3 linked regions of the Oryctolagus cuniculus genome follow. The protein of the gene in region 2 binds, or shares a complex with, the protein of the main gene of each other region. Links are inferred from orthologs where the notes say so. Each region holds a gene or a part of one and is shown on either strand. Other genes may lie near its edges.

The links.
Region 1: KAT2B (region 2) and RBM10 share a complex: the UniProt entries of both Homo sapiens proteins name them as parts of the large chromatin remodeling complex. The link is inferred for Oryctolagus cuniculus from reciprocal best matches to the Homo sapiens genes KAT2B and RBM10.
Region 3: KAT2B (region 2) and MYSM1 share a complex: the UniProt entries of both Homo sapiens proteins name them as parts of the large chromatin remodeling complex. The link is inferred for Oryctolagus cuniculus from reciprocal best matches to the Homo sapiens genes KAT2B and MYSM1.

Annotation. Positions count from the first base shown.
Region 1 is NC_091453.1:32,715,818-32,719,566, reverse strand, and holds part of RBM10 (RNA-binding protein 10), read right to left. Parts: coding exon 3,667-3,749; intron 3,566-3,666; coding exon 3,423-3,565; intron 3,329-3,422; coding exon 3,211-3,328; intron 3,129-3,210; coding exon 3,037-3,128; intron 2,939-3,036; coding exon 2,774-2,938; intron 1,694-2,773; coding exon 1,544-1,693; intron 1,452-1,543; coding exon 1,386-1,451; intron 1,309-1,385; coding exon 1,120-1,308; intron 1,032-1,119; coding exon 957-1,031; intron 632-956; coding exon 525-631; intron 450-524; coding exon 320-449; intron 224-319; coding exon 98-223; 3' UTR 1-97. UniProt on the Homo sapiens protein: Binds to ssRNA containing the consensus sequence 5'-AGGUAA-3'. May be involved in post-transcriptional processing, most probably in mRNA splicing. Binds to RNA homopolymers, with a preference for poly(G) and poly(U) and little for poly(A).
Region 2 is NC_091435.1:155,767,320-155,770,968, forward strand, and holds part of KAT2B (histone acetyltransferase KAT2B), read left to right. Parts: intron 1-610; coding exon 611-819; intron 820-2,099; coding exon 2,100-2,226; intron 2,227-3,649. UniProt on the Homo sapiens protein: Functions as a histone acetyltransferase (HAT) to promote transcriptional activation. Has significant histone acetyltransferase activity with core histones (H3 and H4), and also with nucleosome core particles.
Region 3 is NC_091438.1:114,368,041-114,371,689, reverse strand, and holds part of MYSM1 (deubiquitinase MYSM1), read right to left. Parts: coding exon 3,250-3,649; intron 1-3,249. UniProt on the Homo sapiens protein: Metalloprotease with deubiquitinase activity that plays important regulator roles in hematopoietic stem cell function, blood cell production and immune response.

The sequences.
Region 1 (3,749 bases), on a different chromosome or scaffold from region 2:
TAGATGGGAGCAGGATCTCCCTCTAACCACCCACACATCATCATCCCCTGCCCCAGGATGGAAACGCAATAATGTAAGAAGATGTTCTTGCAGCTGCTCACTGGGCCTCGTTGAAGCGGGTCACCATTGTCTTGTGCAGTGTCTCCTTGTAGGACTCGGTGGAGGTGACCCCATAGGAGCTGCCCCGGGCACCCAGGCCGGAGCCCCGCACCCGTGTTTGGGCCTGTGTGAGGGAAGAAGGGAGGCAGGTTCTGTCAGGCTGGCTGAGGGATGCAGCGGGGGACCCTGGGGGACAGGGCTGGGAGCACTGGAGACTCACCTCAATGGGTGTTACGATGCCCTGCTTCTTACGGCCCAGGCCGCTGCCCTCTTTCCAGCCCATGGCCTGGAGCATGCGACTGCCGATGTTGTCACTGCCCAGCCCATCCCGAGTGGGCTGCTCAAAGTCCCTGCAGGGGACAGTGTGCAGTGTGAGCGGCTGGCCTGCAAGCCGCGGGCCCCCTTGCCCAGCCCCACACACTCACACGGAGGCTGCCGCTATGCCGCCGTACTTCCTCCTCTTGGGCTCGGGGGGCTCGGGGATGCCGTACTTCTCTCTGCGTTCAGCGGCACGGTCCCGGTACTTCATTTGCTGCAAGTGTGTGTGCGTTTGTGTGTGTGCATGCTGGGGAGCTGGCCGCTGCTTTTGGGAGACCTGGGCAGGGGTTGCTGGGGTGGGGTGGGGGTGGGGGGCCTCACGGGGAGCTCCATCTGGCTCGCAGGTCCTAAGGGTCAGGACAGCGCGGGTCCAAGTGGCAGGTTGGGGGAGGGCGAGCTGGGTGGGAAAGAAGCCTTGCAGGGACAAGGGCGTGAGATGGCTGATGGCAGTCAAGGCATCACACCTGGCTAAAGAACTTGAGGGGATGGAGACTCGGAAGGATGGAGGAGGCGGGGCCCAGGAGTGGGTCGCAACTCACCTCCATGTCGTTCTTCTCTAGCGCTTCCAGCTCGTTTTCCGACAAATGGGCTCGCCGATGAATCTCAAGGTTTTGCTGCAGAGAGGATGGGACACGGAGTGAGGCGGCTGGACTGGGCTGGGCACCGGGCTCCAGATGCCCCCCCAACCCTCCCCTTGGTCACCTTGTGGAGCCCCGAGAGCTGCTGGTGCCGGATGAGTGCTTCCTTGCTGGGGAACTGGCGCCGGCAGAGCAGACAGGCCAGCTTCTGCCAGTCTGTGAGCTTCTCCTCGCGCTCAGGGCCCCCGCGTTCCTGCTCCTCCTCACTGTCACTCTCCCCGCTGTAGGCTGCCACTAGCCCCCGCGGTGGGCTCTGCAGAGGGTGAGGGTGGGCAGTCAGGCCTGGCCAAAGAACAAACTCCCTTGCCCCTCTGGGCCCAGGGCACTCACTGGGCGGTCGTCGCTGGCCAATTTCGGGAGATCCATGCTTGTGTGCTGTCTCTCGGCCAGTGCTCCCTGAAGTGGAGGGAGAGATATCGAGGGACTCCACAGAGGCCCTGGAGGAAAGGCGGGATTGCAGGGTGGGGTGTGGGGAAGCCACAACACACCTTCTTCTCCAGGATGGCATAGCCAGCATCCGCGGTGGCTGACTCCCGCCTTTCGTCATCTCGCAGAGAGCTGATAGGCTGGAAGCTGTTTTTGAAGTTTTCTTTTTGTTTGTTGAGACTGCGGGCCCAGCGTTCCATATCCTTGGCAATCTGGGCATGAAGGTAGGGGTGAGGCTCCCAGGAACCCTCAGGCTGCTGGGGCCACCAATGGCACCCACGGACCCACAACCCTTGCAGCAGCCCGGCTGCTTCCTACCCTGGGGCCCAGCTACCCAGCATGCCTCCCTGGTCTGAACCACTGCAACAGGCTGCCCGTGGCTCTGAGCTCCACACTCTCATCAACTACTTGCCCTCCCCCTAAAATAACTTCCTCTTAACCCTTCCTCGGTTCCCCCCTCACACCCAGAGCAAACTCAAAATTGTGACCAGGGCCAGAGAAGCACTTGGCTCCCTGGCCCCTACCAATTTCATCTCTGAATACCCCCAACTGCGTGCCCCCCACCCCACCCCGGTTTGCAATGGCAAGGTGATAGAAACAGTTTGGGTAGAGTGGCAGGCCCAGCACACAACAGGAGTCTGGGGCAGAGTAAGCAACAGGTGGGAGACGCTGGGGGTGCTGAGTTCCCACTGCCCTGCCATCAGTCACCACTGCTCCGTCAAGCCCTTTTCTGTGTGTGCTCCTATGTCCCGACAGGCACCCACACTGTCCCGTTTGCTGTTCCATGTTAGCACAAGACTGTCCATTTACGCACGTGATGCAATGCTGTATTCCACGTTGCCCCCTGTGCTCACCGCCATGTTTAGAAGCCGCCAGGTCGGTGAGGCAGCACTTAGCATCATGCTGCACCCCACTGTCAGACCATTTGCTCAGACGCAGAGCCTCCCTCCCGCTGCCCACTACGAAACACAGCAAGGCCTTTCTTCCAGGGCCTGTGGAAAGTCCTCGGCAGGACGCACTCCTATACACACACACCCCCGCAAGAGTGGTGCGAGGCTTCCCACAGGGGCAGAGGAAAGCTGCCAGGGCTCATTGAGATAGTGCGAGCCACCTCCCGGGGGTGGGCCGCCCTGCCACGCACTGAACAGGCCAAGAGCAGAGCTGGCCTAGTGACTACTCCTGCCCAGTCACCAGCCCACCACCCTCTGCGACAGCAGGCCAGAGGTGAAAGAACGTGGTCGTCAGAAGACACCTGCCAGCTAGCTGGTGCCTGCCAGTCGCCCGATGTTCACCTGCTGCGCTGTCTTGGTCTTGTGCTTCTCCTTCTTCTCTTTGCCTTCCTTTGAGGGAGCCCCTGTCTCCTTATGCCCGTCAGCCGACTGCTCCAGGGCAGGAACGTAGGTCCGCCTCTCCCCATCCCAGTACAGGTACTGCTGGCTCTGAGCATTGTAGTAATACTGTGGGGGGCAGAGGGGGCATGAGGGAAGACCGACCAGGAGACCTGCAGGGAGAGCTGCCCAGTCTCACCCCAGCCCTCCCCAGTCTGCTCCATCACCTGGGAGTTGGGGTCATAGTACAGGCCCGTCTGAGGGTCATAGTAGTAGCCAGATGTCTCGTCATACTGGTAGGTGGAAACGTCAGGCACAGCTGGTGGGGGAGAGGGGGTTATCACGCTCTTCCCTGGTGTGTCGAGAACTCTCCACCCCGCCCATAGGCTGTGGCTACTCACGGTACTGGCTGTAGGACTCCTGGGCAGTGGGGCTGGTGGCCGGCGGCAGGGCAGAGCTGGGATGGGTAGGGCTCTGGAGCTCCGATTTGAGCACAGCAGGTGACATGATGGTGTATGACTGGTCAGGGGGCCAGACAGGGGGACAGGGCTCAGGGTCTGCCAATGCCACCCTTTCCCAGTTGCCTCCCTGGGATCCCCTGGAGCCCACTTACCTGGCTGTTGGCAGCAGCACCCTGGCCACTGCTGGCATCGGCTGCTGCCTGTTGGTAGAGGCCAGGGGTCGCACCAGCCTGGGCACGGGAGAAAGCCTGCAGTGACATGGAGTCTGCTCCAGGTTCCAGGGACGCCTCAGGACCTGGAAATGCACAGGGAAGGAGGATGCCTGTGAAGGCTGGGGCCCAGACCCCCTGCCTGCTGGCCCCCACCATGAGCTCAGGAAGAGATGCTGGGGCTTACCTGCTCCAGCTGGGTCCCCTTTGGTTCCAGTGATGCCAGGGCCCTTGGTGCCCTTGAGATAGCCATGGGCATAGAGGGAGGAC
Region 2 (3,649 bases):
TTGCAGGTTGTGGCTTAACCCATATGCCACTGTGGCTTCAATGCTATGCCGCAGTGGCAGCTCCTCTCATTACTTCTTTCCTGAACTTTTCCCTCAGTCCTTTTCCTGGGATCATGGTCCTTCCTTAGTTGCTCTGGTTCTTCTCTGTGGTAGAGGCAAGTGCAGGGCCTCTGTCCACCATCTTGGCTCCATGCTACACCTATTCTTGGACTTATTGTCTGTGGCTGCTTTTGTCCTGCAGCCAGAGTTGAGTACTTGTGACAGAGACCTAATTGTTTGCAATGTCTATGATATTTTTTATCTGGCCCTTTATAGAAAAATTTGCTGACCCTTAATTTTGTACCAGATTTCATCCATGTACACCTGCAGTACTTTAGTTTCTCAAAGTGCTTTACCTACCTCTTCTATTTTGTCTTTATAACTTGTATACACGTGAGTGTACCCATGTGAGTATGTGTATTGGTAAATGCACATGTGTGTGAATTTAGGACCCAGAAAATCCACAAATAAGTATCTTACTAGAGCAAAGAAGAGAAGGTTTGCTGTGTTCCGTCCACACTGTCTTAAGAGAGTTAGTCTTTGTGATTTTCTGCTCTCTTCTCTATCCCAGACCAATTTTCTGTCAGCCCATTCAGCAAGGGATGAGGCAGCAAGGCTGGAAGAGCGCAGGGGTGTGATTGAATTTCACGTGGTTGGCAATTCCCTGAACCAAAAGCCGAACAAGAGGATCCTGATGTGGCTGGTCGGCCTGCAGAATGTGTTCTCCCATCAGCTGCCCCGAATGCCAAAAGAGTATATCACGCGGCTCGTCTTTGACCCGTAAGTTTTGTGTTAGCTCTTCCTCCTTCTTTGTTTCCTTTTACAATGGAAGACAAACTACTTAGATGGTGAAAGTCTGCCACAGTCTACCACAGAAGTCTCTTCTCCCTCCTGCGATGATGTGCTATGGAGTTTCATCAAGCTGATTTTCATGTCAAAAGGTACTGCAGTTGATTTCCCCACAATTTACACATTTTTCTTTTATAAATATTTATTTATTTGAAAGGCAGGAAGACAGAGAAAAAGAGAGAGAGAGAGATATCTTCCATCACGGTTTACTTCCCACATGGCCACAAATATTTGTTCACTTTATAGAACTCCATGCAGGTCTCCATGAGTGTCTGGTGCCCAATTACTTGGGCCATCTTCTGCTTCTTTCCCATGCACATTAGCATACAGCTGGGTCAGAAGCTGGACAGCTGGGACTTTAACCAGCACTCCCATATCAGATGCCAGCATCTCAGGCAGTGGTTTAATGGGCTGTGCCACAACTCCAGCCTCTATAATTTCTTGTTAATGATGATGAAGCTTTATATTTTAAGTTTTTTGGTGACTATGCTGTGTTCGTTTACTATAGAGTAGAGAGAACTACACACTAAGACGATATCCCACTTTTTTTTTTTTTTTAATAGTCAAAAGGCTTCTAGTTTTAATACCTTAACTAGGTTTCATTGTTGCCCATATTGGTAAAAGTTGGGAAAATTATTGAGAAATAAGTCAAATTAACTCTGCAAATCCATTGTTTTAAATTTTTTTTTAAAACCCTAAACCCCAAATTGATTTATTTAAATGTATTTTGACATATATAGCTCAACAGCCTATGTGGACTCTGATCTTCTTGTGTGACAATTCAGAATGATACTTGAGACAGAGAGAGGGTCTGATGGGGGTCTGGCAAACTGTACATGTGAATTTCATATTCTTCCATATTGTTTCTGTAATATTTTTGACTAAGGCTAAACTTGTCGAGGACATGTGTTTGACCATTGCTTCATGTCCGCCCCTGACCTCCCACCCTGGGGTCCTTGGTGTGGGGGCTGCCAGTGCCACAGTACTCCATGCACACTCTGTTCTCTATCTGTAAGCTGCAGATGGTTCCTAGGTGACTGGTGTTTTGTTGTGGTGGGCACTGTGAAGAAGGCTTGTGCTGGCAAGCTTGATCTAAGAAGCCCAGAATAAAGGATGGTCTAACAAGATAGTGACCAGATGAAGGCATACCCCTAAAAATATATTTCTGTAATGTGGATAGTAAAACTTTAATGTAATTTTATTCTTTTCAGGAAACACAAAACCCTCGCTTTAATTAAAGATGGCCGTGTTATTGGTGGTATATGTTTCCGTATGTTCCCATCCCAAGGATTCACAGAGATTGTTTTCTGTGCTGTAACTTCAAATGAACAAGTCAAGGTAAGAGTAATCCAAGGTCTCAGAAGAAAAGGAGAACGTGGGGCTTCTTGCTAGAGCTGCAGAGCTTGGGAAGTTCTCTGTGCTGTGTCCAGAGAGGGCTCCAGTAGAATTCAGGACTACACTCACTGCAAGTATATGGATATGTTATGTGAGAATAGGTGGCTCCACACACCACTAAGTAAGGCTGTACCGTGGCTTTGTTGGACCTTGGGGCAAGGTACAGGGAAACTGTATAACCCAATGTGAAATTTACATGTAATTCAGCAAATGAAAGGATATTTGAAATAAAGCTCAGTTTTCATTTTCATTGTCAGTTTACACACACACACACACACACACAACTGGTAACACTGAATCATTAGAAAGGGTATAATTGATGTGGACTAGGATAAAAATTTGGCCAGTTTACACTTCTCAAAGATTTCTTAAGACTTTGTCCCTTGTCTGTAAAGGGGAGTTGTGGAAAATTTGCATAAGTTTATGATTAAATTTTAGAGTATTCATGGAGGTTTTGGCATGTGCTGGAATTTTTTTTAAATTTGTTTTCTTGTTTTGTTTCTTTTTCATGTCATGGTTTACCTTCCCAATAGTTCTTGGCATCAGTCCCTCCCTGGGAACTGTAGCTATGATTTAATGTTTTTTTTTTCTTAAGATTTATTTATTTACTTGAAAGAGTAACAAATACACAGAAAGAGAGAGAGAAAGAGAGAGAGAGAGACAGAGGCAGATCAGAAAGAGGTCTTTCATCCTGTGGTTCACTCCCCAAATAGCTGTAACAGCTGGAGCTCCGTGCTGCAGGCAGGAGCCCGGAACCCCACCCAGGTCTCCCATCTGAGTGGCAGGTTCAAATCAAGTGGATTTTACCCTTCTAGCACCCTTCACCTTGGACTAGCCACAGTTCAGGTGCTGGCAGAGATGCCAGAATTGAAACAATGCAGGCTTAAGGACATCTTTGGCTCCTTCGCCTTCAAAGAAGCAATGCTATTTACATAAACCAAAAATAAGTCACTGAAAGGGATTATTCTGTACTTGAGGGTGACAACCAATGCAGTTGGTACTTTTGCTTTCATTAGTGGCTTTTTTTTCTCAAGTCACAGTGCCAAGTACAGCTGCTGTGATGTAGTTGTTCTCACAAAGCACAAGTGGAGCTTTTTGTCTTTGACTTCTAGCATTAAGTACCAAAAGGCAAATGCGATTCAGCAGCCTTACGTTTATCATTCTGACTGGGGCAGTAAAGACCCACGTTTGCGTGAAACGGATCTCTGGCTTCTTTTCAAGGAATTCTGACAGTATGTCTTTAGATGGTGCTGTTGCTGTATTTATCATTTTTTCTCCTTAACCAAAATGAAAGTGTCCAAATGTCCAAATCTTTCCAAATATAGAGTGTTTAGGGCCCTACTTAAAGGACAATTTTGTTTGAGCT
Region 3 (3,649 bases), on a different chromosome or scaffold from region 2:
AACAACATAATGTTCTGACCCCACAGACCTTATATGCCAATGGGGAAGACTATCCGTACATCAATAAATGCATATTATGTTGTCAGGCAGCAATAGTATTAAGAAGGAAGAGGATAATGGAACACAGTGTAACAAACAGGCACAGACTATTTTAGATAGGGTATTTAGGGGAGGCCTCTCTAAGCAGAGATCAGATATAAAATCATCAATTCTAGAGAAGTTTCTGGGAAGGTAGTCAAGTTAGAAGGGATACGGAAGAGTATCATAACCTCCATAGAGAAGTTGAAATTTCAATGTGTCTTGAAAGTAAGAAACAAATGGTACAACAAAGCCAGGAAAGAAGAAGGATACTAAAAAACTGTAGGAGTCTGAAAACTGGATTGATCTAATTAAAATTACTCAAATCAAAAGGCTTCAAAGAGAACTCAGTAATCTTAGCATAGCGCTGAACTCAGGACTCTTAAAAAGGTATGTGTTCATGAAATAGTAAATACAGGTTTAATTTTTCCCTCCTAACAAAATGAATGTTTGCGTATTTCAAGCATTGTTCAAAGCACTAGATATTTAACAATGAACAAAACAAACAATAAGCCTTTGTGTTACCTATATTATCATCACAGTGGGGAGGACACAAGACACAAAAAATACAGTATTTGGGTGGTGATAATTTCTATGGCTGAGAACAAAGAATGAGAGGGAGGAGACAGGTGAGCTATTTTAGATAGGGTGGTCAAGGAAAGGCTCTTTCCTTTGAGCAGATCTGAAGGAGATAAGGAAACCAGACTCGCCAAGAAATGGGGGGAAAAGAGCATCCACAATAGTGAAAAGCCAGGACCACGGCCCTGAGTTGAATATGAAAACAATGAGTCCAGGCTGCAGACTCTGAAACTACTTTTACCTAGTGTGACCTGGAACAAGTTTCTAATCCTCTGTGGACCTCATTTTTCTCATCTGTAAAATGTGGACAGAGTTGTCAAAAGGAAATACAATACATGGCATTTGGTAGATATTCAATCATGGTATTGTTACTTATTTTTTTTTTTTTTAATTTCCTTACGCAGTGAGTCACCAGCATTTGCTTTTATCTGCAAACAAATCTGACAGGTAGCACTTTATTTTTAAAACTTTAACTGTCTTTTTTTTTAAAGACGACCTCCAGTCACTAACCATTTTCTATTCTTTTTCTGAAGAGAACAGATTTTAGTTACAGTTCAAAACATTTATTTTAGGGACTAGTACTGTGGTGTAGTAGGTTAAGCCTCTGGCTGTGGCACTGGCATCCCATATGGGCGCTAGTTCATGTCCTGGCTGCTACTTTGATCCAGCTCTCTGCTTATGGTCTGGGAAGGCAGATGGTCCAAATGTTTGGGCTCCTACAACCGTGTGGAGACCTGGAAGAAGCTCCTGGCTCTGGACTGGCCCAGCTTCAGCCGTTGCAGCCATTTGGGGAGTGAACCAGTAGATGGAAGACCTCTACCTCTGTGTCTCCCTCTCTCTGTCTGTAACTCTGCCTCTCAAATAAATAAATAAATAAATCTTTAAAAACAAACAAAAAAGAAGCCGGCGCCGCAGCTCAATAGGCTAATCCTCCACCGGTACACCAGGTTCTAGTCCCAGTCGGGGTGCCAGATTCTGTCCCGGTTGCCCCTCTTCCAGGCCAGCTCTCTGCTGTGGCCCGGGAAGGCAGTGGAGGATGGCCCAAGTCCTTGGGCCCTGCACCCGCATGGGAGACCAGGAGAAGCACCTGGCTCCTGGCTTCGGATCAGCACGGTGCTCCAGCTGTAGTGTGCCAGCCGTGGCGGCCATTGGAGGGTGAACCAACGGCAAAGGAAGACCTTTCTCTCTGTCTCTCTCTCTCACTGTCCACTCTGGCTAACAAAACAAAACAAAACAAACAAACAAAAAAACATTTATTTTCAGCCTTCACACCATTTTCCTAAATCATCATGTTTAAATAGCAGTATCTATTGGTTTCATCAACTAAAACAAATAGTTTAGGAAACTACTGCCATATAATTTGCAGTATCTATGCAAATTATTCTGCCTTACTTGATTATAGTCAAGACTTGAAATGAAGTCTTTCAGGAGTCAGTGGCTGGTTAAGTCCCTTTCACTATGTCAGAGGACTGCTGTGAGGCCTATACAGCAAATAAGAACAGAGAGCAAGTCTTTCTTTAAGCAGCTAAGTACCATGTAAATGACAGTTGTTCCTTGTCAGCATTCTTTACTATGCTGCCTCCTTACCCAGAAGTTGTTTTGGCATGTCAAGCATCTGCAAGATAACCATGTATCAAGAACAAGAACAAAAATCCTCCTTTTAGAATACTGCTACCTTTAAAAACCTAATGACTTAATATTATGTGGGCAAAATGAAGGCTATTGATTTGGCACATTATTAAGTTTCCTTTATGTAACCTTCCAAAGCTATAGCAGAAAGTTACTGCAAAGGAGAGGAAGACAGAACAAAAGAGAAAAACAAGGGACAAAGCAGAATCCCTACTCAAGGAACTGGGAAGCCCTCTCTAAAAATGGCCCTATATGATTCAACAGTTCATGAACTAGTAGTAGCAATTATGAGTGTTTAATGATGGCTTAATTAAGATGTCAAGATTACTTCAAATTACTTTTATCAGGTTAACGAGGTAAGAAGTTTTTTGGTTTGCTCCCTAGGCCCACTAAATAGTTCAAGTAAAATGTATTAACAATTTAGAGGGTAAATTTCACATATTAGAAAATTCCTGGACCTTGATGAAGCTGGATGAAGAAATTATTAGCATATTCCACCACAAGTTTAAAGCTGAAGGCATTTAAGACAGCTGTTCAGGTGGAGTTTCTGCAAAGAGGCCACATTTAATGATACCATCCTCTGTCACCAAATCTTTCCTTCTTTGCACTTAAAGTACATGATAAATCCCAAAAAGAAAAATTCTCTCCTATTCCCAGTACAGTAGTGTTCTACATCTGCATTATTTCTGTCCCAAGGAATTGCTTCTTGAAGCAGTTATTCATCCCTTTTCTTTCCAAGCACAAACACTCAGATGAACAGACAGATGGTATTGTGACAGCTATACATGACCAAAGCTTTCAAAAAAGTTTCACTGTGAGAAAGTTAAATTTTTCCTACTGAAATGCTGTTATGTGAAAACACTCTTATTGCCACCAAAATTCTAAATTCTGCATAGGCCTAACTAAAACACTTAAAGAGTATCAGGTTTTTAAAAAGGCATCTAAAATGTAATTTTTTCTTACCACTGATCCAAAATGTAATTTCTAATTTTCAAATAGCGTTCTGGTGTTTTAGCTTGACGCCCCTCAAAAAACTCAGGAATTGCTTGTTTTTCTTCTTCTTGAATGGTATTTCTATCTATTTCTACTTCTTGTTCTGGTGGCTTAAGCTCTTCTTCCTCGTGGCTTTCTTCCACAACATGACAAGAAGAATGAAAAAGCATTTCATTGTCACTCAAATCTTTATTTTCACAAGTCTCAAGAGAAGGCCACTGACTCGCATCATCTATCAGTCCATTTCCATCATGCCCGTTATAGTTCTGAATTGGTTTATTACATTTCTCATCTTTTAATTCAACTGATTTTTTGTCATTGTTGCTCGGTTTGTCAGTCTGTAATGTAATCTGTGAGCCTGAAAGTGTTT